Linked DNA regions of Struthio camelus. The protein of the gene in region 1 interacts with the protein of each later gene in a pairwise test. Links are inferred from orthologs where the notes say so. Each region holds a gene or a part of one and is shown in the gene's direction. Other genes may lie near its edges.

Region 1 (6,671 bases):
GAAGAAGCATTTTGCTTGTACTAAAAGAACAGATTATTTCGATTGCAGGCACTTTAACAGGTCCTTCTAAGCCCAAGAGCAAAGGAAAGAAAGGGCTGAGCTTTACCACGGGTAGGTGTCCCCATTCCTGAAAGGCAGGAGGGCAAGACAGGGTCTGCAGCGTCCTTCCTGCGAGGCCTTTGCGGACAGCAGTTCAGACCTCCCTCTCTCCCCGTTTGAGACCCACACTGGACTGTGACGTCTTGCGGCTCAGCAGGGAGCTGTTTCTGAAACTGGAGAATATTGTGAGGTGGGGATTGTAAGGTCTCCCCCAGAACCTGATAATCTCTGAAAAGAAGGAAGAACGGCTCCATAGTCTGGTGTAAGCTGTGTAAGTAGGATGGGGGACGTGACTTAGGTCTCAATTAATATTTGATTGTGTAGTGAAATAGCTTCACCTGGAGAAACTGAAAAGTCTAAAGCTGTGGACAAAGCGCTCAGCTGGGAAGTTGGTTCAAACCCTTCTCCTGGAGCAGGGGTTATTTGTATCTTGGCAGGGAGGTGAAAATACTCAGCATTATTTCTGCCTTTGTAGTTTTGTGAATGACATCTAAGTTCTTTCGGGAGTCCAGCTCAGAAATCTGCGTAGCCGGTATAAAAAATTCTGCAGTGAACTGTTGCAGCATTTCCAATTTGAATGCATGTCTTCACATACATGAACATGTGTCTGATGCAGGTCACTAAATCTGGCCCAAATACATTAGTATTTGAAGTCACAGTTTTTAGCAAATGAATGATTTGCCTAAAGAACTTTATCCAGCTTTACGGAAAATACTGCGTAGAAAAATTAAGAAAAGGCAACGGTACACTGCTAACTGAGTTCTTGGTAGTTCTGGATTACACGGGCTTTGTCTTCTGATTAGTACTTCACGGTGCTTGTCTCCACTAACTCACTATCCAGTCAGCTCTTAGACCTTAAAACATTCATCTAAGGTCTGTTTTAGTGGCCCACAGTCTCAGTCCTTCAAAAATACAGATGACCCATTTCAAATTGCCATCTTTCCTAAAAACTGCTGCGTCTAGGTAGCACCCTTGAGCTCCCATCTGATGGCAGACTAGGCGCAAACATCCTATGATAAAATATTTTCCTTTGTCCTTTAAGGATACTTTTCTGCTTTCCGTTGCAGGATACCTGAACTTGAAAAGAAGAGAGTGTTCCCTGGGGAGTTACCATAGTAACCTGTGATGTTCCTGTGTTGTCTGAGATTAAAAAAAAGCAAGGGAGAAATTACAGAGAAGAATTTTATACCTGAGTTTATCATCTTTGCATAACACCAAAGCTGAACTGCGTCTGCAACTTCCTAGAACAATAACACTCACCTTGGGGCTGATATCAGGTGGGTAATGTTCATTGGAAAAGAAATTAAGAGCGCTATTTATTATTCAAGAATCTTGATTAGAAAAAAAATTTATTCTACATCTTAAAGATGTAGTGAATAACAAAGAAAATGAGATCATTAGAAACGCAAAGATGTAGAAGTGAGAATAGCTGCTACAAATAACGTCTAAACTTACAATGCATGGATGCCCTGCATATTCTGTTTTCTTCTTAATAGGGTTCAGTGATACTCTCCTTTTAAACATATAGTCAAAGAAAAACTCCAGACTCAAATTCTCTTTGCAAAGTGACTTCAGGTCTCACAGTGCACGCATGGAGGTTATTTTTGAGCATCAGTACCAATTCAGCAGCAAACATAATTTGAATATTCTGAATAAAAACAAAAAATGTTTTAAAAGAATGTGATAGAAGAACAATCTATTTAAACTGCTCTCAGTTATGAGCATCAAAGATAGAGGGAAGTCTGGGTTCAGGAAAGGGCTTGAGAGCTGAGATACAGAAAGGTCATTTCCGTGAAAGATAACCCAACTGTGCATTGCTGGGGAAAATCAAGGACAAAAGAGCAAAAAGTGAGTTGTGGGAAGGCGGTATCTGCGTGCATCCGACTCTCCGTCAGGGGATGCTTGCCGCCCTTACCCCCACCCCGGTGCGTGGTGACTGCTGGTCGTGTCACAGTCCGGCGCCTTTGTTCCTTGTTACATACCATGCATGTGAGCTGGCACTGGCGGGACCAGGCAGGGAACCAGCTAGGAGGAGGAGAAGCTGGGGCAATCTTGAGCCTCTTGCCTCAAATCAAAAAAGCAGCTAGAAACAGGGCTGTTTGGCAAGAGCGCAGGGAAAGGGAACACGACCGACTTTTGTAAGCAGGTGAGTATGTGTCAATGCTTCATTTACTACGGCTGAATTACCTAGCTCAGCCTGATTTTGTGCAGCTTCCCTCAAAAAAATTGTCCTTCCTGCCCATCTCAGTTCCCCAGCCTTTTTACGGGATTATTTAGTTCAGAAATACTTGAAAATGATAACAGAGCCTGAGAGAACTTGAAATGCCTCTGTGAAGCGTGGGTCAATATCTTTACTGCAGTGCAAAAGAGCTGACAGAGATGCTGTCAAGTTTAATTGTCCCCAAGATAATGTCCTTCAATACCGAATATATTAAATGTTTCTGTTTGTCCTGAAAACATGCCATATAAACACTTTAAATATAAGTGATTTTAACAGCTCTAGCCACCTACCCAAGCCACTCACTGGCAGGTGTGTCTTGGCTCACAATACCTATATTTTCTGTTTCTTATTTGGATATTTAGGGGCGTCTGGGGTCATTCTCTCCTTGGCTGACTTTCCTTTCAGCCCTGGGGTTGATGGTGCAAACATCTGATGAAAACCTAGGCCTGCAAAATCGCAGGAGCCATGTCAGGGAGTGTTTTGGGAGACATGTTCGCCACCCTTCTTCCCGCAGAGGGGTGCAGAGCTCCCAGAGCATGAAAGCGGACATCGGGCAAGTTGGAATGGCTGTGGAGGAGTGTAAGAGGGAAAAATACACAGTTGAAAGCACAACACAAGTGGAAAAAATGAACTTTGAAATTGCAAGGTTGTTGCATACTGTGGGAAATCCTTTTTAGCAGAGCAATATAATGAAAACGCTAGTTTGATGTGAGATAAAACATACAGTGATGCAGAAGACAACCTTGAGAGCTAGACTGAGACCCTACCACAACAAACTCTACCACATATTATTGCAACAAACCTATATTGCAACTCCCTCCAAAACTCACTCTCGCTTTAAGGGTTTGGGGATTTAAAGTACCACCAACAATTTTCTGAATTTTTGGATAAACTTGGGAAGGAGGAGGAGAAGGAAGTAGTTATGTGATGCTGGCTTTCAGGAGCCAAATGGAGCTAGGAGAAACAATACAACAGGAAGCAGCATGGTAGACAGTGCAGAGGGGTGGGAAAGAGCAGTGGAGAAGACTTTGTGGACAGGAAAGACCATGGCAGGACAGAGGTGCTGGGAGACAATGTCATGAAAGAGCTGGAAGAGATGAGGAGTTGGTGAGTTACATTTCCCAGTGTCAACAGCACGCCTAACACTTTATGGAAAGGTATGGAGATGAAGTTTGTGAAGGTAAAATTCTCCTCACCAGCTGAACAGGTAGAATTGGATTTCATAAGGGACAGTAAGGCAGCTGGAGGAATTCAAGGAGGAAGAGGGTAGATCTAGGTGAAATTTGACAGCCAACCTCTTTTTTCTAATTAGAAGAAGGCACATTGCAGAGATTTAGCTTTAAAAAAAAATACATACACACAAGACATTCAAACAAGTTTATTATAAAAAACAGTTTAACCTCATCTCATCTTGAAAATTTCATGTATTTTATTTTTACGGGAACACATTTTATTTTGATGAGAACTGCAGAAAATAAGACTTTCTTTGGCATAAAACTTATCTGGCATTTTGTGTTCATGAAAACACACTGAATTCCTTCATTTCTCCAAGTTTAGTTATGACTAGAAGGTGATTTGGCCAGGAGCATTTTGGGCAGAACAAACAGAGAAAGGATATTGAACAGATGAGTCTGAGTTTTCTGCAATTGAAATGAGAAGAATTGGAGGTACAACTTAGCAGGATGGATTTTGAAGTGATAAGTTTTCTGGTGATGTGAGAAAGAGGCAGAACAACTGTAAAAAAAGCGATGACACATTGCTATTGCAAACCTAGAATGTGAGAGACGTAATGGAGCTATCAAAGAATACAAAGATAAGAGAAACTGTGGAGAAATGAGAAGGAAAGATGGAGAATTATGTATGGAGTGCGACAGTGTTTGGAACGTGCTGATAGGAACTTGTCAGAAGAATACGTGAAGAGCAATAGAGCTCTTCCAGTCCCGATGGCGCAGTGCTGTGGTTTAGATTTTTAATTATCTGTGCACACTATATCATTCTGTGTTCTTCCTATTGATGGTGCTGTCAATTTTAAGATTAAAAAACACGGCTGCCATCATATTTTTGTGGCCTCTTGTTAGCAAAGGTTACTGAGCATCCACTGGAAAAAGCTGCTCTTAGGGCCAGTTTCAAAAGTAATGACATTTTTTCATCCTTTAAAAATGTCTTACTAGGCATCTTTGAAAACTTGTCTCCAGCCCCATAATTTATTTTAATTAATTAATTTATTCTCTATCCTCGGAGATATTCAAAAGCTGTCTGGACACAGTCCTGGGCAGCTTGCTCTGGGTGACCCTGCTTGAGCAGGGGGGTTAGACTGGATGATATCCAGAGGTCCCTTCCACCCTCAGCCATCCTGTGATTCTGGTATTCGTTTACCTGTTGGTCAGCAAGGAAAGGACAATTCTGAGGTGTTCTTACATCTTAACTCTTTACATGTCTGTAAAAATGAGGTAGAGGGATAAAAGGAGAGTCAAGGTTTTTGCATAAAAGCTCGTGGTGTTGCCATAGCACTGGTAAATCTACTAGTGCCAGTATTCTCAGATTTTATGAACTATGTTTCTGGTGTATTCCCTACCTTCCAGTGTCAAGGAGGCAACACAGTTGATTGTGGGAACTTACTTCTTTGCTAGTTTCTGTTATCTAATGTAATTTAATTTGGACCTTGAATTTTGGTAATAATTCCGTGCATTTATGTTCCCTTTTCTATCAGTCCTGATAAAGCTTCTCCAAAACCCCTGTGTCATTTACCAACGGAGAGTGGCCTCTCGTGGAAGTCCTGGAGAAAGTGTTTTCACACAGACTTACTCAGTTTACTAAAGAAAACCCATGTCTGCTTGTGATCTGATGAACCACAACATGCAATGCACAAGGACTGACATAGATTGTACCACCCCACGAGTGAAACTGAGTGATGAGACATTTATCTTTATTGATGGCAAATGGGTGAACGAAATTTACCATCAGCCACCCTTTGCTTCCCACGAGAAGCACTTCAGCAAGAAGACACAGAGTGAATGGAGCATCTGGGAGGAGAATAGAGCACTCCTGGAGGAAAACAAAGTTCTCCGTATTGAAAACAGCATGCTGCAGGAAGAAAACAAGGCTCTTCGGTGCCTCCAGGCGCAGAATAAGACTGTCAAGGTCATTTATGATGACACTATTCATCAGGGCCTCCAGAAGGAAAAGAGGTCATTCCCAATCTTCCCAGACAGCAACATAGGCTTTCAGATCAGCCAAGATAACAAAGCTCTTCAGATTGTCCGGGGAAAGAACAGAGCTTTAGAGATCTTCCGGCAGCAGAATAAAGCTTTCCCCATCATTTGGAAAAACAAAAAAGCCATTGCAGTCCATGAAGAGAGCAAAGACACAAGCTCAGTTCTTCAGAAAGACACTCAAACTATCACAGATCCAGAAGAAGGTAACCCTGATCTAGCCCCCCAGCAGGAACACGAAGTGGGGAGCTCCAATCCAACCCAGAATGAGAAGAGTGCCCCAGCCATGCAGGGTGAGTATCCAATTGGCCAGGCCATCCAGAACTTATACCAAGCCCTCCAGGTCTTCCTGAAAGAGGACTATATTCCCTCTGGAGAGAAAAACTCCCTGAAAGAGGACTATGCTCCCTCTGGAGAGAAAAAGGACATTCAGATTCTCCAGGAGGAGAACAAAGTCTTCCAAGAAGAGAACAATAAATTGAGACTGCAGTTGAATGCCGTGAAAAACACTGTGTCAGATATTACAGCTCAAATGGAAATGCTGCAAAAAGAGCTCAGTGCCATCACTTCCCCAGTGTTCGAAGAAGCAGGACAAATACTGGCAAGTGAATATCAGCTTGGAGACATGTGAAACTTGCAGCTAAACCTGCTGGTTCAATTTCCTGTAAAGCACCTCTCCTTGTTTCAAGGAACTCAATAAAATCCCAGTGGAATCTGAAGAAAAAAACCAGCTGGTGAACATTGTGTTATTCTGAAACTTTCTTGTATCACTTGGATGCGTTTCCCCTTCTGATAACATGGGAGTGGGCAACTGTCATGAATTTGCCTAGTCCCAGAAAAACATGCTTTTCGGCATATTTTAAAAGTTTCTAATAATAAGGCTACATTTTCAACAGATAGCTCATGCTTTTCTCACTTAATCTGAGGTACCTTGGAACGGCCATATTTACCAGAGGGATAGGCACTTTCTGAAAACCAGGATTCCAACTGGGAGCTGAGTTTGGAGCCCTGTTGGTCCCTTTCTTTTGATGCCAAGCTCAGTGGCTGAACTATGTCTTCTGCGATGCACCAGCCTTACCTTTCTCACGTAGGCTAAGCAATGAATCATGGGAAATGTGGCCTCACGGAGGAGACAGGCC
Region 2 (7,492 bases), on another chromosome or scaffold:
GCTGAGGCAGTGGCCTTGGAGAGGGGTGTGCGTCTGTGTGCGTCTGTGTGTGTGTGTAGTACCCTACCTGAGGAGGGGAGGAGAACTGTCAACTGTCTGTGGTTTCTCTGCCGGTTTTAGTTAGTGGCGTCTTGCCCAAAAATATCACTCGTGCAATTTTCTATGTGAGCTGTTTCCAGCTGAGGAGCATCCCTAAGCAGGTGATGGCTCGAGGCTGTATGTGTTGCCATGTTTCACCCAGGGATCTGGGTGTCAGTCTGCAGCGAGATGGCAAGGCTAAGCAGGAGCTCTTGCCCTGTTCTGGGGGAGAGGTTCTCTTGGCCCTGCTGGTAGGCAGACTTGGTCTACTCCACGTCGAACTGTCGTCGTTTTGATTTCTCTGTAGGTTATCTGACTTATTTATGTGGAACTCTGTCTCTCTGAATTTTTTGCACTATGTGGGATTGGGGAGGGGATACAAGCAATACAAGCCAATGTGTACAATAAAGACGTTTTCCTGAATCCCAGATCCTGCCCTCTGTGTCCTTCCTTTCTCTTCCCTGGCTCTGCTCCAAGAAAGCAGGTAGCTGTTCTTTTTATTGCTCTAGGTGGAGAAGGAGCCTCCAGGCAGAGGGTATGCATGGTGGGCTGCTGTGTGTCTGTGCCTGAGCAGCCACTGAATAGGTCTCATCTCCTTGGGTGCAGCTGCTCTGGGCTTCAGGGCATCTGCACGGAGCAGGGACCCATGTCCCTCTGGGATTGGGCCCTATTGCACTGACCCTGCAGTTGTGGATGTTAGCACAGGAGGCCGGAGGAGACAAAGGCCAACTTTAAAGAAACTACTCTTTTGGGGAGCCTCAAGTGAGCTAAAAAGAGCAGCTCCCACTTCAGCCCTGGTTCCTCTAGGTCCTGGTGCCACACTCAGCAGCTTGGTGCTGGCTGCCTGGCCAAGGAGGTTGCTGTCCTGTGGACAAGGTGTTTTATACTCCCAGAGAGGGTGTTGTGGGCTGGCCTCAGCAATCCCTTGCTGTGCTGCAACCCTGGAGAAGGAAAGAGCAAGACGATGCTGATGGTTAGGAGGCCACTGGGACAAGACCAGTTTGAATCGTAGGGGCTTTAGAGGCAGACTGATACCTCTCCCCGCCTTTAAATTCTAGTTAAACAGTTTTGACTCCCTGGGTTTCCCAATCTCCAGTACTGTTGACAAGCTTTTCCTGCATTGGAAATGAAATCCAGATAAGAAACGTCCTCCTCTACCTCCAGCTGTCACATGCATCTTGCCTGGAGGCAGGAGCAGCAAGCTGGTCCCATGCAGCAGGAGGGAAGGCTCTGCCACAGTCAGATCTACCATCACCAGCTGCTGCCAATCACTGCTGCCTGTGGGGAAAATACTAAGCTCATTTCATGGTAGTGGGGGGTGCAGAGAGCAAAAAAGGACAATGAGAAACTGCATGACGAGGGGTGCAAGCACGCTTTGGGACTGAAAGGGAACTTTCCCTTGCACAGGTGCTAGTACCTTGCAGTAAAGCCCCGATGCTGTATAGTAGTCATGCCAGACCCAGTGGTTACCCTGCCGTGTCCTCTTTCTCGCTGCTCTCCAGGCTCTTGCTTCTATCTCGGGTTTCTATAAATAACTAGCACACTGTAAAAGCCTGACCTCTTCCCCCCCAGTTCAGGCACTCCTGCCCCTGGAAGCAGGGCAAAGAGGGTGTGGGAGAGCAGTTTGCCCTGCAAGCCTGCGTGCCCAGCGTGCCAAAGAGTGGGAGCTGTCCTCGTCTGCAGGTCGTGCCTGGCCCTGCCAGCCTGTTGGTGGTGGTCGTTGCTGTCCCAGTGAACAAGACAATGCATGTTTGCAGGACCAAAAAAAATAGCTGGAGAGAGGTAGTTATATCCCTATTTTGAGCGGTAGGTTTCTACTTGGGACAGATATGTTGGAGAAACAGCACGTTCCTGGTCACGCTGCAAGGCCTCGTTAGCCATGGCTCTTAAGGGGAACGATCCTTTTCCTGAAAAAGCAACAGTTGTTGCTGTTGGCTGTCATTTTTGCTTTCTCCCAGGAGGCACTGGGACATGTCTTCGCTGTTGGAGTGTTGCTTTGCAGTCTTGCACAGACACACTATGGTTTGGGGCATTATCCAACTATAAAAATTATGGTGTTTTGGATAGGGCTTCTCTGGAGTGGTCTGTCCTGAGCTTTGCTCAGCTGCGATGGGTTAATGAATTATATACAAAGGGGACTTGTTTTCAAAAGTCAAGTATGTGGAGGCCTTTGTCAAATTTTATGGCATGTTTGTTATCAGCCGCCCTCTCTGGGTAAGCGTAGCCTAATCCTACGATTAGCTTTTTGGGGTATGTTGATTTTGTTACTGCTATCTTTGTTGTTACACTGCTATTTATTATACTACCGCTTTTTTTGTTACTGCTTTTGCTGTTGCTTCAGCTCCAGGACAGGGTAAATACAAATAGAGTCTGAGGCCAAAAAGGACCATCGTGAAAAGTCCAATATGTCCATAAGACTTCCCACAACAAATCCTTGTTTGGTTCAAACAAATCTCCTAGCAAAACATCCTCTCCTGGTTTTGAAAGTCCCCTGTTGAAGAAGCCGTCGCAGTCCTCAGGGAGTTGTTCCAGTAAGAAATAACCTAAAAATACGTGCCTTGTTTCTGGGCATCTTCAGTTTCTGTCCATCTTCAGTTTCTCAGCATTGGCTCTTGTTATCTCTTTGCCAGCTGTTTGTCTGTTCCCCGTGTAGGCACTTCCAGCCCGACTGCATCTCTGTCGCCTCTCTGCTATGGTAGCAAGATGGAGCTGCTGGGCTGTCAGTCAAAATAATGTGGAGACAAAACACCCGTCAGAAACACCCTTCTCAGAGAGCTGTTTACAGTTGCTTTTGAGTCTCCCTGGCCAGTCACTCTGTAACATATTTGTCTATCTTACCGTTTTTGTATTGTTTTAGGCTCTTACTAGCAGGCTGTGTGGATGTATCAGTGCTTTATAGTCAAGTGTATCAAGTGCTTTATAGTCATTTCTTAATTCAACACCATTATTTTCATTAACCAGATATGATTTTTTTCAAATGAGATAGAAATTAAATTAGTTTGACAAGAATTAATTTCCGTAACCCCCAGTTATTTGTATTAATTATATTCTCCTCCTTAAACTCTTAGTTAATCGGACTCCCTAACAGCTGTCCTTTCATTTTCCTATGGATCAGTGTCATCTGACTGACAAACCCATAATTACTAGGATGGTCTTCTTTACCCTTCGAAATACTGGTATCCTGTTAACTTCTTGCAGTTCTCTGCCAATTCCCTGGTCATGAAAGACTTGCTACAAATGAAGAGCAGTGATTCAAGACCTTTGTTGTTCAGGCCTTGCAAAACTCTTGGATACAAATTGTCTGGACCTTCTCATCTAGAGCCTCCAAGTTTAGTGACTGTTTTTTAACACCTACCTGCAGTACTATGGAATGAAAAGGGTTTCATCATTTGCTATGACTATACTGCCTAGCTTTTTCAATGCATAGAACAGAAATATTTATTGATTGTATCTGCCTTCTGTATTATCCTTGACTACTCACTGTTGTTATTACTATTTCCGCATAATAAGGGACTGATACCAGGGTTGGGAATTTTTGCTTTGCCTTTTAAAATGCTTCTTTGAAAATATCCCTTTAGCTTTGGTGGTCATGCACCTCTTTTGTGCTTTGCTCTCTTTATCAGTTTTCCATAATTCCTAGTTTTATTTTTATATATATATATATTTACTATTTGTTTTCCTCTGTTTGTTTGTTTTATTTTTAGATGTTTTTTTACATTTCACCTCTAATACAAGCTAATTCTTTTTAACTAGAATAAATGTTCTAAGTTGCAGCCTTGTGAACACCTCAGAGAACACTTACACAATAATTATTGGAATTACCTTTTGATTTTTTTTTTTGCCAGCTGACCTGAATGGTAATTGATTTCCTTTTGGAAAATTGCTCCAAATACATTTATTATGGGCTCCAGGTTTATCCTGTTCTCTGATAACAAGCGTTATTATGTAATGGTCACTTGCTGCATCTAAGCAACAATGGATTTTTGATTCTGTGATTAATTCTTCTTTACAAGCCAAAATGCGGTCTACTATACAATTCTGCCACAAGGATGGCATTGTTTTGTTAATCGAGAAATGCAAAACCTCAAAACACTTCTAATAGGAAGAAAGTGAGTGGGCAAAGAAAGGTTCTCGGGGAGATGCAGGCAAATCGGAGCAGGCGTGTGACACCTGTGTGTCACTTCAGTCGCTGCCCTGGCTGCCAGGGGATCCCTCTGTGTGGTCAGCTGGCAGCTTGGTGGAGTCCCTCCTTTTGAAAGCGGCGATAATTCCCTTCCAAAGGCAGCAGGACGGAGTCTGCCTTTTCGCCCTCCTCCCCTGCAGGTGCCTGCCGGCAGACTCCGGCTGGCCTGGCTTGCCCCTCCCCGCGCCGCAGGACTCCTGCCAGCGCCGGTGCTATCAGTCCCAGGCGGGCAGGGAGGGGGAGACGAGAAGGAGCAGGCAAGAAACCTTGGCCGAAAGTCTGTTTGCTCACAGCTCACACCCACAAGAGTCACTGGAGGCGGAAGTGGGAATGTCTGCATGACACACACACACAAACTTCCCTGGCTCCACACGCTCTCGGTCTCAGTTTCTGCCCAGCACTCCAGCTCCCAGCTGCTCGGGGACTGTTCCAGTTGCTACCAGCATGGGGAACATAACTTGTGTTCCTCAGGCACCTGGGAGGTTCAGACACTCTTTCAGCAGGAAACCTTCGCTGAAGAAAGAGTAAGTACCCTTGCTTTTATTGTGGACTGCTTTTCAAGCACGTGCTGGCTTCCCTGCTGACTTTCTCCTTTGCGAGACACCGTACAGAACTGGGCTAGCAGCTGAGCCCCGCTTGGGAAACCCAAGAGTTATTTGCAGGGCTTGGGCATGGTTTTGCTGGTACTAGGCAGTGCTGAACAAGATCAACTCATCGCAAGTGGCAGGGAAGAAATTCTAGGGCTATGCCGGCAGAATATCCCAGCGGCACCGCCCCAAGGGAAAATGTGATTTGTGCCATTTCATTTGGAAAATGAAAACCCCTCTCTATGGGACCGACGGGGCAAGGTGCAAGATGCCTGAAGTTCCTTGTTTTCACTTGTGATTTTTTTAATTCATGTCTCCCGGAGTTGTGGCACTGATTGATCACAAAAGCAAGCTACCAGGGACCGTGAACAGGGAGCAACACTCACATTCCTTTTACTTTAGAGCGAGAGCCCCAAATCCCAATATGATCCTCTGCCTGTACAGTTTGGTCTGTGTTTGTAACTCCCAAGGAAGACATGAAAGAAACCAGCAGTGAAACCTTCTAGGGACTTTGGTGCTGGGCTGGCCAGGAGAGCATTCAGGTACCACAGTGATGGGCAGCTGTCCCAAAATAGAGCCTACCAGGGAGGGCAGAGCAAGCTTCCCTAAGCGCTGCCTTTCCCCCGGCTCACGCTCCCATCAGTGCAGTCACAGTAATCTTGTTGCTATCCTAAGCACGTACTGAGCAGAGCCCTCCCAATTCTGAGAGCTTTGGGCTGAAAAGGAGCCCTGTTAGAAATCAGGATAATCCCCGTGAACTCTGCTAGTCTTGGGAATTTGTAACCAAAAAGAGACACCGAAACTGTCCCCCTGCTTCTGTGCTGCGGTAATTCAGGAGCAAACCTGCAGGAGTCTGTGCAGTTGCGAGGCGGTAGGAGAGAGGGAATTTGAACCCCGAAGGGCCAATGTCAGGTAGCCCGCAGTGTAACGGCCAAGCCCCGGAGCACCCCTCGTCCCTGCTGCCTCTGTGCCTCCCGCGCTGACGGCTCTCCGTGGAGATGAGCCTGGTTTCTGCGGGACTAAGTGCTGCAATCTGGTTGAAAGAGAGAAAATCCGCTGGGGAGCGCCAGCCAGGCAGTCCCAGTTTTCTTAATGGCATTTGTAACTGCTCATTGATGGGTTGCACACCAGGAGAAGCTGGGGGCTCTGCTGGGAGCGGAAGGAAAGAGACAGGAAAATCACAAAGAGAAATAAACCCTGTTTCTGTGTGGGTGTGGATGTACAAATCCATCTCTGCTCCAGTGGCTTTGGAATAGCCATCAGGATTTTACTTGGCTTTTTTTGTATTTTGCAATGGGACGTCCATTTCCTTCACTGAGCTGGAGACCCAGACGAGCCTAGCTTATCACTTGGTCATGCAAAGACACGTAAAAAAGCAAAGCTAAAACAAGTGCAGCACAAAACCCATTACAATTGTCCCAGGCTTTTATCAGCCCTTTGCTGTCCTGGATGATTAGAAAGCCCATGACCAACTGCTTACTCCAGCTTTCTTGTTTCTGGGCAGAATTTACTATGCACCAGGCTAGATCTGTGTTTGCATGCGTTTCTTTGTTTTTTTTCTCCCCTTTGTAGAAAAGATGGCAAGAAAAAAGTACCCAGCTTGTTTGGTATTGAAGGAGGGCGGGAGAGAGATACGACCGCAGACAAAATACTGCAGTATATTCCAGGAAAGGCAAGTACAAACGCATCCAGCCCCCTCCCCACCATTCCCAGAGATTATTGTCACCCACCCCAGGGACAGCTTTGTACGCGAGAGGGACAAGGGCTCTGGGTCAGGGGATAGCAGCAGGCCTGTCTCAAGGAGATGGAGGTCATATCTGCAGCCAAGGAAGGATGGCTTGTTATGCCGTATCCTTCACGGCAGGAGTCATCTGCTCCAGGGTACCCGTGCAGGAGTCAAGGGGAACTGTCAGCAACAAAAATGTGTGCCGCTGGGGGTGCAGCACTAGGGGCAAGGCAGGCAGCGTGGTGGGACTATCTCACAACCCCCTTGCTGCTATTGGTGCTTTTGTTTCTGGGTAGTGTGCAAAGGAAGGGAAAATTAGCGCGAGCACGCAAAGGTGGGATGATTCATTCCCACGCCGGAGTGAGACGGAGCAGGCAGCATATTAGCAATGAGCCTTAGGAAGGTAATCAGGAAGGGCAGGTCTGTCCTAGGCACGTACCAGCCTGGTAGCCGTATGGCCCGTTTCCCAGCACTGCTCAGGGGAAGCGGAGGTGAAACAATGAGCCCTGATGTTTTGCTTTGGTGCCTTTGGGTGGGCCGGGGACATGCACTGAGCTTGGGGCCTGTTGCACTGTACTATCTACATACCTCCCCCACTGCACAGCAAATAGTCTATGTGGGCATGGGGGTGGGGGAAACTGAGGCAGAGAGAGACACAGCTAGACAGAGGTAATTTCGGAGGTCAGTTGTAGGACGTTATCTCTTGGGCTTCAGCTGCTGGCCAGGTGTATTTCAATGACCATGAGATGCCTGTCAAGGGCTTGGTGTATTGGAGGGCCCAGTTCTGGGCAGTCCTGCTCAGGTACCTTGGGTTGCTGCAAAGATTCAGCTGTCTCGGAGCTGATCTGTCCCCCTCAAACAGGACCTCTGCAGTCCCTTTTGGTTCAGCTGCCTCTGGGTAGGCCTTTTGTTTTTCCT
Region 3 (7,505 bases), on another chromosome or scaffold:
TGCTTTCTGTTATTTTGGATGTGTGGGGGTGGGGGGTGTGGTTTTAAAATGGAGCTTCAGAAAGTCTGATTTCAAGACATGGGAGATGGGGCAAAGTACCTCTCTTGTACCTTTTTCCCACAGTGATATAATAGGAGAAGTACCTTTCCTTCCCCCTTTCTGAAAAGGGCAAGGAGGGAAATGCAGCACCCATACAGCATATTCACTGTGTGAAAATTGAAAGAAGGTGGAAAACTTGGCTCTCTTCCTGATACTGGTGACCTCACTTCTGCTTTCCTTATCATAAGGTGATCCTGAACTGTTCAGCACTGCCTTGTCTCCTTCACTTATTAAGCAGTCCCAAGGAGTCGATTAGGAAAGAAGCCTGCTGGACTATTTCTAACATCACAGCAGGAAACAGAGCACAAATACAGGTACAGCTTTGAGGCTTTTAGGTTTCATTTGTAGTGATCTTGGAGTCCAAGTTCAGTGTTCAGAGTCTGCAAATCTTTTTCTTATCTGACCCTTAGAGGCTTTAAGCTTGTTTAAACTCTTTAAAACTCTTTAAATTTTGTGGGCAGGCTGCTCCCAGCTGTAGGCCAAATAAATTAGCTAAAAATCTGCTAATTGTACTACAAAGGGATGAGACTGAAATGACTGAATGTCCCCCTTTTGGATCATTGGAATAAGAACAGGACATAAAGCCCCCATTTCTCCATGCTCAATTAGAGATACCCCTTTGAAAAGCTGTAGCTTGTTAAGATGTAATTGTCCTTTTAATGGCCTACATAACAAGGCAGATAAAATGAGACTTTCTACAGGACTGATGCAATAATGAGGGACTATTTACTGTGCTAGTTATGGAATTGAATATAGGATTTGGTAGAGGAATAAAATGGAGGAATTGCTGAAAAAGGTTTAGGCCGGAAAGCTTACTGGAAAGTAGAGAGAGATTTCTTTCAGCTGCTTTTGGAAACCATGTTGCCAATTCAAACACTTCATACTGTTCTCTCTCCCCAGGCAGTCATAGATGCAAACATTTTCCCAGTGCTGATAGAAATCTTGCAGAAAGCAGAATTCCGTACAAGGAAAGAGGCAGCATGGGCTATTACAAACGCAACGTCAGGAGGAACTCCAGAACAGATCAGGTACTCCTTATGGCCCCACTTAGGGGAAATCGGTCTGAATGTATGGCAGCTTTATGTCTTTGGGATCTGCAAGACAAAGCAGTAAGGGAGAACCTCTGGGAGAATACCTGAGACATGGGCAAGGCTGTAGCTAGACAGTGTGCTCTGCTGTGCATTGCAGTTTCCTTCTGAAATGGGATAAGCAAGTGTCAGACTAATCCAAACTGCTTCCCTCTCACGTCTTTAAAATAGCTTAAACTAGGCTAAATGTCCAAACCTCATTTAAATTCCCGTGTGGGCTTAAACTCAGTGTCACCTGAGTTCACTTCAAAGGGAGCTGGCCCTTTTTTTAAAGGCAGGGTTGTATATGCATAGAAATAAGTGGAGATAAATATTAAGCTTGCAAAACAGTAAAATATACTAATAATGTTAAATAACGTTATAGTTATTTAACATTATATATAGCTTATATATATATATATAAAAAGTTATTTTAGTTTGACTCATTCCTTTGAGCTTTTTTTAAGTGAATGAAGGCGATGTTTGCTATCCTGCAAGCTGAGTGTATGTTCTGGGTGCTCTCTCTGTAGATACCTGGTAAACTTGGGTTGTATCAAGCCTCTTTGTGACCTGCTGACTGTCATGGACTCAAAGATTGTTCAGGTGGCGCTGAACGGCCTGGAGAACATACTGAGGCTCGGAGAGCAGGAGGCCAACCAGAGTGGGACAGGCATCAATCCTTACTGCAGCCTGATTGAGGAAGCCTATGGTAGGTTGTGGCTGGTGGCCTTGCTGCTATTGCCTTTGAAAACCGTAGGGTATGTTGACAGGTGTCTGCTGATGTCATGGATTTCACTTCTGCTTAGCACTTAAGTGTGTACCAGATAAGGGATTTTAGTATGTTCCAAATGAGATGTTATCACGTGGCCTGATTCTCCCAATAAGAGCAGTTCTTGAAATTCATAAGAACGTATGTTGCTTGGATGCTTCCTGTTCAGCAGTGGATTTAAGTCAGATGGCTAAAGCAGTCACTGCCCTCCTGCTGGAGGGAGGCCCCTGGGGTCAGGGCCTGCTTCTTCCCCCTTCCAGCCCCAGGACTGTCAAACTATTCATGGCCAGTTGTATTAGTCCCACTGATTTCAGTTTTGCCTTCAGCAAGGGAGCTGTGAGCAGCTAAGCCTACTGTTGTAAAGATGTCAGTGCTGTCTGATAGGGATTAAATTTCCAAGCAACTCTGGAGTAATGGGAAGAGTTAGCTTTAGATGTCAGAGTGCTGCAGACAAAATGCACATCTAACACAGGCAGGGGTCTTGCCCTGAACAGGGGTGAGGGTGGAGGATGGATGTGGGACAGTGTAAACACTGGGGTTCTCCATGTTTTGTCACACGCTGCTTTTCTCTTCTCTAAGGCTTGGATAAGATAGAGTTCCTGCAGAGCCATGAGAACCAAGAGATCTACCAGAAGGCCTTTGACCTGATTGAGCACTACTTTGGAGTAGAGGATGATTCTGCTCTAGCTCCCCAGGTAGATGAGAACCAGCAGCAATTCATATTCCAGCAACCTGAAGCCCCAATGGAAGGTTTCCAGCTATAATGTGCCCAGAGGGGAAAAGAATACTACAAACTTGCCAGGAAGCAACTGGGAGCAGCTGATGGTCCCACCCCCCTCCTTGCAAATGGAAGGCTAAACACCCACTCCACCTGTTAGGAAGCAACTCCTCCTTCAGAAACAACTAGAAGCAGTGCTTTGTCCTCATGGAGAGAAGGGGAAGTTCTTACACTTTTTCTTTTTGCTGCTGCATATGTGTCTTTAAAGCAGGCATCTGGGTGGAGGAAGGACACTGAGATAACAGATTGCACCTCTTGTGGGTTTTTTTTTTTCTTCCTCTTTGTGGTGATCTCCCAAATGTCACTTTTTACCTTGGGTACTTAAAATTGAGATTTCAGCATTGGGTTGGGTAAGAACACATAGAAAGTGAGCATTCTGATGACAATAATTCTGGAAACCTGGGTTGATCTATTTAATTTTTTTGCACATGTTACTCTTATTAAAGACTCTAATTTGCCAAGAGCAAAGTTTAGCCCTGGCCTTTCTGCGACCCTCCTTCAGTGGACAGTCCTGTTGGACCTGGGCCAAGTTCCCCTGAAATATACTGTAAATGGACAGAGAAGCAGGGAAGTCTCCCAATCCTGGGAAAGCTTTCTGGGGGAAGGATTCTTCTTTTTTTTTTTTTTTTTTCCTGGAGAACTGCTAGTGGTATTTACAAGGAAAAAAGCAACAAAACCCCAAAGATGGTAACTATGAAGAGGGTGGGATGCTTGGGTGGTTTTTGAAAGAGGAAGCACAGCTGCCATTGCACAGGCTTTGTTTGCATTGCTACTGACTGAAGTCACAAACTGTTGAAATGATGAAACCCATCTTCATTCTTACTTGAAGTTTTTTTTTTTCCTCCTCTCATGAAACCATGTTTTGAATTTTGGGGTTTTTTGGCTGGGTTGGGGTGGATCATAATATGGGCTGGGGAGGAAGAGGGCATAGCTACACTTGACAGCAGTGTTGTGTGCGGTGTTAACTTCAGTAGCAACAGGCCTGAGTTTTCAGGTTTACCTCCTGCTCACAGTTGGATCATGTACATTTTACTTCAAAAGGAAGAATCAAATCCCTGTATTTTTTATATTATATATAGGTAGATATTTGTCTAATTGGGCTTCAGAGAAAAATATATATGAAATTTCTGTAATTTATGTAAATAGAATACTGTGAGGCAGGCATACCTGGAAATGACGGTCTGTGAGCTCACTCACTGGTTGTCCTGCTTCTTTTCCTCTGTTTACTCATGTACTGTATAAGCAAACATAGATCTGTCTTAAACTCCTCTACCTGCCTTGAGTTTACTTAGCCAAGATCTCATTAAAAAACAAACTAAAAGGGGGCGGGCCAGGCTGCGGAGAGCGAAACCGCTGCGGGGGCGGCCCGGGGGCCGAGCCCCGCGCTGGTGAACGAGTAAGCGACAGCGGCGCCTCGGACGGCGGTGGGGCTCGGCGGCCCCCCCCCCCCCCCCCCCAAATCCCGGGCGGGCCCTCAGCGCCGGTAACGGCCGCCCCGCGCGCGGCACGCCGGGAGCGGTAGTTCGCGCCCCCCCCCTCCGGCCCCGCGCGCGGCACGCCGGGAGCGGTAGCTCGCGCCCCCCCCCGGCCCCGCGCGCGGCACGCCGGGAGTGGTAGTTCGCGCCCCCCCCTCCGGCCCCGCGCGCGGCACGCCGGGAGCGGTAGTGCCACCGGCGGACCCGCCGCCACTGCCGCCTCTCACCGGTATTTCCCGGCGGGCCTCGCGGCGCCGCAGCCGCTGATTGGCCGGCGGCGCGGGGGGCGCATGCGCGATGCGCGCACGCTGGGAGGCCCGGGCCGGAGCCGTGGCCTGAGCGCGGAGGCCGGAGGGAGGCGGGCAGAGAGCCGCCGCCGGCTGCGGGACCGGCGGGGCGGCGCCGGGGAGGAGGCCGCTCCGTCTTCGCTTCCCTCTGATGTGCCGGGGTGCCGCCGGCTCCTGCTCCCTGATTGGCTGAGGAGGGAGGGGGGTGACGCGTCAGACCCCTGGCGGTGACGTCACGGGGTACGTGGATGACGTCATTGCGGTGGTTGGGGGTGTGTGTGTCCGCCTGGAACGTCATGTCGGGGTGGGGAGGGGGGGCAAGGCCCTGGGGGTGCCATGGGGCGGGCTGTTAACGGGGGAGTAGGGCCGGGCCGGGGGTGTTAACGGGGGTGGTGACCGGGGTGGGGGGAAGAGGCTGGGGGGCAGGAGTGGGGCACGGCTGTGGGGAGCAGGTGGGGGGTATAGCGAGGGAGCAGGAGTGGGGCACAGCTTGGGGGAGCAGGCGGGGGGTACAGCGGGGGGCATGTGTGGGGCATGGCTGAGGGGGGCAGGCACGGGGGTGGCTGGGGGGCAGGTGAGGGGTACAGCGGGGGGCATGTGTGGGGGTGGCTGTGGGGGAGCAGGCAGGGAGTATTGGCTGGGGGACAGGAGTGGGGCACGGCTGTAGGAAGCAGGCAGGGGTACAGCGGGGGGCAGGAGTGGGGCACGGCTGTGGGGAACAGGCGGGGGTACAGCAAGGGGGCATGTATGGGGCACGGCTGAGGGGGGCAGGCACGGGGGGTGGCTGGGGGGCAGGGATGGGGGTGACCGGGGGGCAGGCAAGGGGTACAGCGGGGGGGCAGGTGTGCGGCACACCTCGGGGGTCGGTACGGAGCGGGCAGGAGGGGCAGCGTTAGCTGTGGGGCAGCGCAGGGGTGCCGGCGGCGAGGGCAGGGGGTGCCGGGGCGGCGCGGCCGGGCGGGGCGGGGTGCGAGGAGCTGCCCCTCGCCCGGGGTGCTGCGGAGCCGGCCGTCGTCCGCCGGCGCCTGGGGCAGCGCGCGGGGGCTGCGCTGTTTCCAGCAGCAGCGGAGGAAAAGGAGCGCCCGGGGGCTCGGCGAGAGCGGGGCGCTGGGTGCCGCGGGCCTGCCGTGGGAGGGGGCGCAGCCTCGCCGGCCTGGGGGCGCGTGATGCGCGTGCTTGGCTGCTGCGCCTGCTCCTCGTTTTCGCCCGTGTTTTGCTTCGGCAGCCGTGTCCTGGGCTGCTCTCTCGGAGAAAGCTCGGGTCTCCCTGGGCGATGACTGCAAAACTGCAGCAAAGGCTTTTTCCCACCTCTTGCAGAACGCTCCCTTGGCTCTAGACTAGGAGCACTGGCTGCCTCTGCTTTGTAATTAGTATCGTGATTGGAGCAGAGAACGCGGGGGAAAGAGTCAGGGAGAACATACCCTGCTGGGGGAGAGAGGAGGGAGACGAGCGGGGAGCTGAGCTCGGGCTGTTCGTTGTGGCTCACGGTGATGCTAGTTAATCTTTTCAGCGCTGAGCTCCAGCTCTGCCTGGGAGCTGCACACTTTCCTCCAGCCAGGTATGCGTTTTTGTTTTAGTTGGTGCTGACTTTTCTCCTGCGGAGGCTTTGGTCTCTGGGTCTTCCGCGTAGACAGGGGATTTATTGCCAGTGTGCACAGATCACTCTCAGCTGTGAAACATGTTTCTTAGCAGGGAGGAGAAATGTTCCAAGAGGAAAATATGGTGGGGCAAGGGGAAGTAACAGTGCTGAGAAAGATGTGCCCTACATGCTGCACGTGATTCGGGATTTGCTGCCTTGCCCTAGAAGGGGCTGCTTCTAGCATTTCTCAACTGGAAGAAGAATTATTCTGATATAGAGGCCTTTGCGTTCAGGCGCAAATCGCAAAATGCTGCTTTCCTCTGCGCTGAGCCGCAGGTGGGATAGTGGCAGCTGGCAGTGGGGAAGCAGCCTCCCCAGGGACGAGTTGCTTCTCCGTTCTGAGTTCATCGGTTCTCGTTGACTCCCCAGCAAGGTGATGAATCCTGCTATAACCCCCTAATCTGTTACTTCTTAAAATTAAACGTAGTTGCTGTTTCTCTTTTGCTAGGGTTTGTTGAGACTGAGTGGGGAGAAAAGTCGTGATGAAGAACCAAGGTGGGGAGACCAAAGCTGCCCTGCGGCCTGCTAGTTCTTCCAAAATGAGCAGCAGCCTCGTGCTGGAGGAAGGCGACTTACCTGAGGCCGCAGCACCCCTTGAAGGTGGGGAGACCCCCGGTCCCGGGACACGCAGCTCCCTGTCGGTGGCTGGGGGCAGTGCTGACAGCCCGAGCAGCGGCACGCAGGGAAGCGGGAGGGTGGGTTTCAAGCCTGAAAAGAGTTGATCTCTTGCTTTCTCCATAGGAGGGTGGGCTGTTGTATCCAACTCTTTTTACTTGTATAAGAGCAGTTGTGATGTCAGGAGCAGAAAATCCTTGTTTCTTATCGCTTCTGCATATGTGCAGTTCTGAAGTAGTTACTGCTGCCTTGGGGAACAGGTTACCAAAGTGTGGAGTTGCATCTGCCTTTGATCCTGACCTGAACATGATGGGTTATTTGCTGTTGCTTAGACCTGAAGGATCCCATACAGGAGAAAAGTCAGACAATCTTTCCCTGGGGCAGTGTTATGTTGAGTGACCTGCCCTGTTATCGGCGCTTTTCAAGTCATAAAAATAATTCTCTAGAAGGAATAAAAAACATGTCTAGTAAAGTAGGTGCTTAGTTAAAATTCACCCGGCCTTATGTATATTCTGATGCCTAGTAAACGTGGGATGTAGTGAATGCCCAGTGCATAGCGTTAGTTTAATAACCAACTGCTGTCTGTTATCAAGGAGTCTCATTTGGGGGAATTTTGGAAGCTAAGACGCGTACTAAGGGATGGGCTGCCTACTCCTTCCCTAAGCATCTGCTGTTGGATGCTCTTAGGGACAAGATACCTTTGATCTGACCCAGTACAGCTGTTCTATATGTGACGAGAGAGGCTAACTTGGGTTTTAAATCTATTGTAGCCTTAA
Region 4 (7,206 bases), on another chromosome or scaffold:
GCTGCCCTTTCTGGCTGTCTCACTTTCAGGCCGACACAAAATCAGAAGAAGCCAAGCATAAAAGGCTGCACCTGGCACAGAGCAAACAATAGAGGGTTCTGCACTCAACTGTGATATGCATCTTTTGACATAGCTTCCCTGGACACAGAGCAGGGCAGATCAGATTTTCAAGCCTGAACGTCAAGTGAAAGCAACACAGGGCAGAAGTGGATGGAGGTTAGGAAAGAGACTCCCCCTCACCGGCCACTGGAAAAGGGAAAGCTCAGGCAGGAAATCAGAAGGAAACGAGCCACATGCAGAAAGAAATCAATGTGTAAAGGCAGACAAAACAGAAAGGATCCTTGATTCCTTGGAGGACAGAAAGCAGAACCTAGAAGAGGCTCAGAGACAAAGAGAAAATAGAGGTAAAAAAAAAAAAAAAAAGTTCCTGTAAGTTAAAGCATATATTTTATTTTCTTTGCAAAAAAAACCATCTGTATCTTATACTAGACAAAACAAAAGGTAGGTCAATTTTTTTTTTTTTTAAATCAGTCTCTGCATCCAGTTGTTTTACCAGAAGTGAATTGTAAACACACCATTCACAGCTCAGAGTCCAGGGACAGGACACACCTCTGCTGCTGGGAACACAGGGTGACAACAGGTCAGGAAGGGAAAGGAGCTGGGCTCGGGGTACTACTGCTGTGACCAGAGCCACAACCAGATCCTGAGCTCAGGGAATGCCAGAGAGTGCAAGACAGTTGCCAGTGCAGGCTCAGATGAAAAGAAAGACAGGGGCACAACAATCACATCGTGGGATGTGCTGATCCAAACTGCCCATCCTGGAGACCAGCCAGCAAGGACAGCTGTATGCCACTGTGACTGTCACAGCCTCATGCAAACAAGTATAACCTCCCTGCAAATCACCCTAACAGCCTGAACCATGCTAATTATAATCTTAATCCTAGATCCCATCTCTGTGCACCTGTATAACTGTGTAAAACACTACTTCAGGCACTGAAGTGCATGAATTATATTTAGTGGGTATTAACCCGCCTGTTCGGTGTGCCAGTGTCAGTGAGCAGGGCACCTTGGAAACAAGAGCCACCCCCGTGCTGTGCACACAAGGCGGGGAGGCTTCCCAGATGTGTTACCTGGCTGTGGACTCCCCCTCAGTCAGAGGGCAGGCAATGGCTCCGCACGCAGTCAGCAGGGCTGCCGCCAAGCAAACAGAATAGGCAGCACTTGAACCTAACCCAGCTCCTGCGGGCAGCTCAGACCACACGACTATGTCCACACTTGGAACATCTCTGAAACACAAACACACAGGCTATATACAATGACCTTGAATTCCATCTTGAAACAACATTTCAAAGGCAAGAGATGCCAATTAGGACTGATCACAGGACAGGCTAGTTGAAAATTGGCAACCTCAGCACATCCATAAGCATCCGACAGACGTGGGCCTCACGAGCGTTCAGTTAGCACAGCTGAGTAGCCTTGCTAAGCCATTGTGCTAGAACAAAGCCTTGCTGAATTGGATCTGTGATTAGCACAGCTTGTCAAGCTGCTAGCAGGGGCACTTAGTAACCAAAAACTTGAGTAGCACCATAAAGAGACCCTTCAAAGATTGCTGTAAACGTTGTAAACGTGACAATAACTGCATAGTTGCATCTTACTAGAGTGATGAGCTGATGGGAAAATGAAATACACACACGTGTTTGTGTCCAGGTGCTCCTGGTCTCTGCTTGAACGCACGCAGGTTGCATTGCGGTCCCTAACATCAAACCTAGGAGCTTTCCACTGGCTGGTGAGGGATATGAACAGTAAGTTTCAGAGCAAGTGGATCACAGCACCAGTGCTATCACCAAGAAGCTCAGAGACGGCAAAGGAAAACACAGTAAAGCTACAAATAATTCTTTAACCTTTGATTCCTCTGCTATGAATATTGAATTCAGGCTCTGACCTCGTTTGCAATAGCAGGCAGTGCTGTATCACACCTGACTCTTAGTGAGTTTTCAATAACTTACAGTACTATCATCAGCTGCATTTGTCAAGTTTAGAAACTGGGAGAGCCCTTACCTGTGGTTACCTCAAGTTCCCATATTTTGAGAGAGATTCAGCCCACCAGAGAGAGCAGTCATAGCTCAGACATTTAATTCAAGTATGTTTCCACGGTAATTTTTCTAACCTAATTCAGGATGAGATGAACTGCCTGCCAGGGATGGGGCGGATGTCTGTCTCTGTCGTCTGTACAGGAAGGGTGGGACTTAAGCATCTCAAAGGTAGATGTCTAAAATAGAACAAATGATCCCTCCCCCACCTGCTTGGGGCACTTGGCATTCTCCCCACCACCACCACCAAGTGCAGCTTAGCCCTAAAGAGTTGCCCCTGGAGTGCTCAGAACCTAAGTGTGACTCTCTTTAATTTCTCATTTCACCTCAGATGTTTGGTTTCTTTCTGTGACCTCGTAAAAGCAATTAATGATGCACAATACACAAGACAGCATGTTTATTTTGCTACAGGAAAATAACCTTACCCATACTTAGCTGAAATAGCCAGGCACATATAGAGAAAGGCAAGAGTAGCAAGGCTCTCGGGAGCTGAGGATTCAGCAGTGATTCCAGCAAACTCTCTCAATGTATTCAGCTGTTCTACGCTGGGGGATTTAGATTCATCAAAGTCAGCTGTGGAAGCAAGCAGGGCAGAATTTAAACACTTAGAAACCAGTGAGTTTTTAAACTTGAAAGCAGTATTTACAAGAACAATATCTCCCGTTATAGTAGGCACAACAGACTGTGAGCCAGTCAGCGTGTTTCATGTATAAAGCTGCCACCCAAGGACTCGTGATAAAATAGAAGCAAAGTCTCCACCAGTCCTTCTGAAAAACCTAGTGTTTCTGCATCCCCACACTGGCACGGTGTTCTAGCAGTTCTCCCCTTGCTTGCACCCCTCAGTATGCCCACCCACCGCTACACAGAGCCTGGCAAGTCACAAGTCCTTTAATAAAGAGTGAGGAATATTCTGATGTGCTTCACGCAGAAGCCAGGAATCCAAACGGATAAGAGCAGACATCAGCATAAGACGAATTTTGGTCTGTGCTGAGGGATTACCAACGCGCTGACGCTCTGTTCTGCCTCGCGCTAAGCAAACAGCGGCTGTGAAGATCGCAGGCGTTAACGCCAGGTCCTCCAGAGCGGGACGGCACACGCGGCAGCCAGGCGCTCCCTTCCAGCACGGGGTGCTGCAGAAACGCCAGCAAGGGCTGGCGGGGGGGGGGAGCAGAGGCAGAAAAACGGGCCCCACGTCCCCATCCTCCCCACGAGCCCTCCGCTCCGAGCGGCTTCAGCGAGACCCCCTTTGGGCCCAGAGCACACGGGCAGCGACGCAGCCGGGTCCCGGCAGCCGGGGCAGCAGCAACGGCAGAAGCGGCCGCCGGGGACGCCGTCGGGGCGGCCGAGGCCGGCGCAGCCCCCCCCCCCCCCCCCCCCGCCGCTTGCCTGAGAAGCCGCTCCGCAGGGCCTGCAGCCGGCTCCTCTCCCAACTGGCCGCCGCGCCGAGGCTGGGCAGGCGGAGCGAGACGCTGCCGCCGGCGGGCCGCAGCCGCAGGAAGGTCCGCAGGTCCAGGGCCACGGCCAGGGCCACCTGCGGGCGAGGAGCCACCGTCAGCCGCGGCCGCGCCGGGACCGCGGCCGGGGGGGGGGGGGTGCGGCCGCGGGGCCTCCTCACCTTGCCGTAGACCACGGCGTGCTCCCCGTGCAGGATGGCCTTCCCCGGGGCGGACAGCACCAGGCTGCGCTCCAGCATCTCCACCTGCGAGCGGGGAGCCGCGCCTGAGCGCGCTGCGGGACCGCCGCCACCACCGGGACCGGGACCCTCGGGACCGCCACCCCCCTCCGCCTCCCGCCGCCGCGGAGAGCAGCCGGGGGAGCACCGGGCACGGCCCGCGGGCACCAGGGCGGCGCCCGGGGGGGGGGGACGGGGCGGGGCGGGCCCGACCCAGGCCCAGCGGTCCCGGTTCCCCGGTGCCGGTCCCCACTCACCGCTGACCGCCTCAGCCGCCGAACCGCACCACCCCCGCCGATTGACCAGCTCGTTGACCAATAGGAGACATGCCTGCTCTCGTCCTCCTTGCTCTGGAGCCAATGACCGGGAGACTCCCGGGGGCGGGGTTTAGGGAGGGCCAATCGGAAAGCGGCAGCGTGGAGTGGTGCGGCGCTGGGGTGACAGTGCGGGAGAGAGGCGGGACGGCGGCCGAGGAGGGTCGGGGAGGCGGTTAGCGGCCCGGTGGGGCAGGGTCAGAGGCCGGGGCTACGGGAGCCGAGAGGGATGCTGAGGCGGGCGGCGGTGGCGGCCTGGAGCCTGCGCAGGCCGCGGAGCCTGGCGGCGACGGTGACGGCGACAGCGGGGCGCCGCTATGGCGGCGAGGCGGCTAGGTGAGCGCTAGAGGAGGAGCCGGGGCCGGGGCCGGGGCCGGGGCCGGCTCCCCGCGCTCACGGCCCGCCTCTGCCTCCGCAGCCCGGACCGCGGCCCTCGCAGCGCCCGCGCCCCGAAGATCTACACGAGAACGGGAGACGCAGGTGAGGCCGGAGCCGTTGCCGGGAGGGCGGTACCGGCGGGGAGGCCCAGGGCAGCCCCGGGGCTCGTCTCCGTTGGTGCCCGCGCTCCGACCTTCTTCCCCCTTGGCTGTTTTCAAAGGCTTTTCCAGCACTTTCACCGGAGAGAGGAGGCCGAAGGACGACCAGATCTTCGAAGCCCTGGGCACGACGGACGAGCTGAGCTCGGCTATCGGGTAACCCTCGTGCCCCAGCCCTGTCCGCCGGCGCTGCCTGGGAGAGGGGCTGCCGCAGGCCCGGCAGGACTCGTGCGAACCGGACGCTCTCCACCGAGATCCCCGCCGAGCCGGGGTGCTCCCACCCCCCGTGAGCCAGACCTCGTCGGCAGCGCACAGCCCTGGGGCTCCGCGCGTGCTCGAGGGATGCAGCCGCACGGGCCTGACCCCCTTGCGCTGGGGGTCTTTTGGTTGTCTTGTTTCTATTAAGAACTGCTCCCACATCCCGTCCTCCTGCAGGGGGGAAGGGGATACACTGAGGACTATGACTACGTTTCTCTGGAGGGCTGCACTGACAAGTAACTAGGAGCATCCAATTTCTATGTTTTTCATACAGAAAAATGTGTACGCACAATCGTAGTAATCTTTTTATCTCTGGCTAACTTGACTTTTTTTAATCTAGGCTTGCTAGTGAATTTAGCAGTGAAAAGGGCTACACTTTTGTTGAACAGCTTCACAAAGTGAGTATTAACAATCTTTACCTGGTGTAGTAACTTCGTTTGTGCTATTGAAATATATTCTTAAACTCTTTACTTCCAGACACAATGCTCTCATTGACACAGGATTCTGATAAATTTAGTATTAAAGTATTAAAATGAGGTATCTAATATATACTTGAGAGTCTGATCCTTAATTACTCTCTAAGTAATAAACTGCATCTCCTTAAGCTGAGCCAGTAGACCAAGTAGATTAGTTATGGGTAGACAATCATATCTCCAAGAGATTTATTCAGACCTGTTACTGTACAAGCTCCTGGGCAGAAGTTAAGCCTTGTTGTCATGTTAGCTTCAAACTTGAAGGCAGGGTGAAGCAACTACGTGGGCACGATGATGGGAGGCAGCTCCCACCATGGCAGCCTGTGGCTTTTGCTCATTAGCTTTGTTGTGCAAAAGAACTCAGAAGCAGCTAATCAGAGGCTCTGGAAAGCTTTACCAAACTGCCTCTCAAATATCCTAGGCCATGGAGAGATGCTCCTCTCGGAAACAGATGTGACATCAAGTCAGCACTATCTCCAGCTGTTTGTCGCAGCCTTTCTTTCAGAGGTTCCTGGTTGTGGTGTTTTACCAGCAAAGGGATCATATGAGTACTCCCCCCAGTCTGCTTTCTGCAAAGACAGCCAGGGTAGTTTAATGTGCCAGTGAAAATGAGTACATGTGCTAATCTGGCTTCTCATAAAGCAATTAGGGAGCACTTATCTGATCCCCCCTGCCAGCAGACTGGGGGATGATGAACAACAAGGGTAGGATCTTCTTTAATCAGCACAACCAGCTGTCGCCTCCCAGAGCTTGCTGCAGTTCCAGAGCATCAAAGGCTGGATAATGAAAGCACTTCTTGCTTTTCCTGATTGCCACATCTAGGTCCAGTGTATGCTGCAGGATGTGGGCTCCAACATCGCGACACCTCTCTCCTCAGCCAGGGAGGCTCACTTAAGTAAGCCCCAAAGTATCTTTCCTAGAATAACAGTTCTGGAATTAATGTTGCCTTCTGGACTGGCATTAGGGAGGCTCTCACTGTGTGTGGTAGTCAGAGATGCACGAGGGCTGCCTCACGAGCAAGGAAATAACACGCGGTCCCAGAAGCTGCTGCTGCTGTGTTTTTGTGACTCAAGCGACGGGGCCAGCCTGGGGCATTGCACCAAAACCCACGCCCCAGCCACAGCTGCTGAATGGGGAGCCAGCCCCACTGTAGCAGGAGGGATGTGGGGGACACTTTCTTATGACCTACTGATCCAAGTAATATCAAAGTAGAGCTTCATCTTCTATAGGTTGAATCACTTCTCTATTTCTTTTAGTTGATTTTTCTTTCCCCCCTGTAGAACGAACATCTTTTAGCGAGAAGCCAGTTCTGGAGCTGGAACAGTGGATTGACAAATACTCGGAACAGCTTCCCCCACTCAGAGCTTTCATACTGCCAGTAGGTACTTCTTATGCCACTTGCTTCTTTAGGGTAAATCTTCTCTACCACCTGCCACCGGGGGAAAAAAGTTTGTAAGGCTGTTACTAGTGTGGACCAAATGCCAAAAGGAAAGCAGAGAGAAGGACCAGATAAAGCTAAATTTCCATGTACTATTCCATTTAGATACCTCTTCAGAACTGCCTAGCCAGAACCTAAGGTTCAGCTGTATGTGTGTATGAGATGTGATAAGCTTTGCTGCCTCTCTACAATGAGGTGGGTGGCTATCTAATGTTAGCAGGCGTTAATGCTCTGTTTAATTGTTGTTTCAGTCGGGAGGTAAAAGCAGTGCTGCTCTCCATTTTTCCCGGGCTGTCTGCCGCAGAGCTGAAAGGTGGTGAGTGTTGGGCTTGTTAATGTAACTTGAACAAAATGGATGAAAGATGATCAGATTGCTACAGTTGCAAACCATTTAAAGTTGCAGTCAGAGCAGCTGACCTTGGATG

What was found.
Region 2: the proteins of CBY2 (region 1) and PLEKHN1 interact in binary tests that used the Homo sapiens proteins (3 or more experiments, as listed by UniProt). The two-hybrid records come from large-scale screens. The link is inferred for Struthio camelus from reciprocal best matches to the Homo sapiens genes CBY2 and PLEKHN1.
Region 3: the proteins of CBY2 (region 1) and TXLNA interact in binary tests that used the Homo sapiens proteins (3 or more experiments, as listed by UniProt). The two-hybrid records come from large-scale screens. The link is inferred for Struthio camelus from reciprocal best matches to the Homo sapiens genes CBY2 and TXLNA.
Region 4: the proteins of CBY2 (region 1) and MMAB interact in binary tests that used the Homo sapiens proteins (3 or more experiments, as listed by UniProt). The two-hybrid records come from large-scale screens. The link is inferred for Struthio camelus from reciprocal best matches to the Homo sapiens genes CBY2 and MMAB.

Annotation. Positions count from the first base shown.
Region 1 is NC_090942.1:191,153,014-191,159,684, forward strand, and holds CBY2 (protein chibby homolog 2), read left to right. Parts: upstream 1-4,895; 5' UTR 4,896-5,146; coding exon 5,147-6,163; downstream 6,164-6,671.
Region 2 is NC_090962.1:4,767,511-4,775,002, reverse strand, and holds the start of PLEKHN1 (pleckstrin homology domain-containing family N member 1), read left to right. Parts: upstream 1-4,484; 5' UTR 4,485-4,705; coding exon 4,706-4,785; intron 4,786-6,420; coding exon 6,421-6,520; intron 6,521-7,492. UniProt on the Homo sapiens protein: Controls the stability of the leptin mRNA harboring an AU-rich element (ARE) in its 3' UTR, in cooperation with the RNA stabilizer ELAVL1.
Region 3 is NC_090964.1:8,542,663-8,550,167, forward strand, and holds the start of TXLNA (alpha-taxilin), read left to right. Parts: upstream 1-4,484; 5' UTR 4,485-4,715; intron 4,716-5,985; exon of another isoform or gene 5,986-6,033; intron 6,034-6,562; 5' UTR 6,563-6,596; coding exon 6,597-6,714; intron 6,715-7,505. Other genes in the region: KPNA6 (importin subunit alpha-7), read left to right, coding at 288-413, 1,000-1,127, 1,697-1,875, 2,515-2,699. UniProt on the Homo sapiens protein: May be involved in intracellular vesicle traffic and potentially in calcium-dependent exocytosis in neuroendocrine cells.
Region 4 is NC_090958.1:19,210,199-19,217,404, reverse strand, and holds the start of MMAB (corrinoid adenosyltransferase MMAB), read left to right. Parts: upstream 1-4,185; 5' UTR 4,186-4,305; coding exon 4,306-4,412; intron 4,413-4,494; coding exon 4,495-4,556; intron 4,557-4,674; coding exon 4,675-4,768; intron 4,769-5,210; coding exon 5,211-5,268; intron 5,269-6,165; coding exon 6,166-6,238; intron 6,239-6,623; coding exon 6,624-6,721; intron 6,722-7,032; coding exon 7,033-7,097; intron 7,098-7,206. Other genes in the region: MVK (mevalonate kinase), read right to left, coding at 1,131-1,286, 2,516-2,663, 3,477-3,621, 3,706-3,783. UniProt on the Homo sapiens protein: Converts cob(I)alamin to adenosylcobalamin (adenosylcob(III)alamin), a coenzyme for methylmalonyl-CoA mutase, therefore participates in the final step of the vitamin B12 conversion.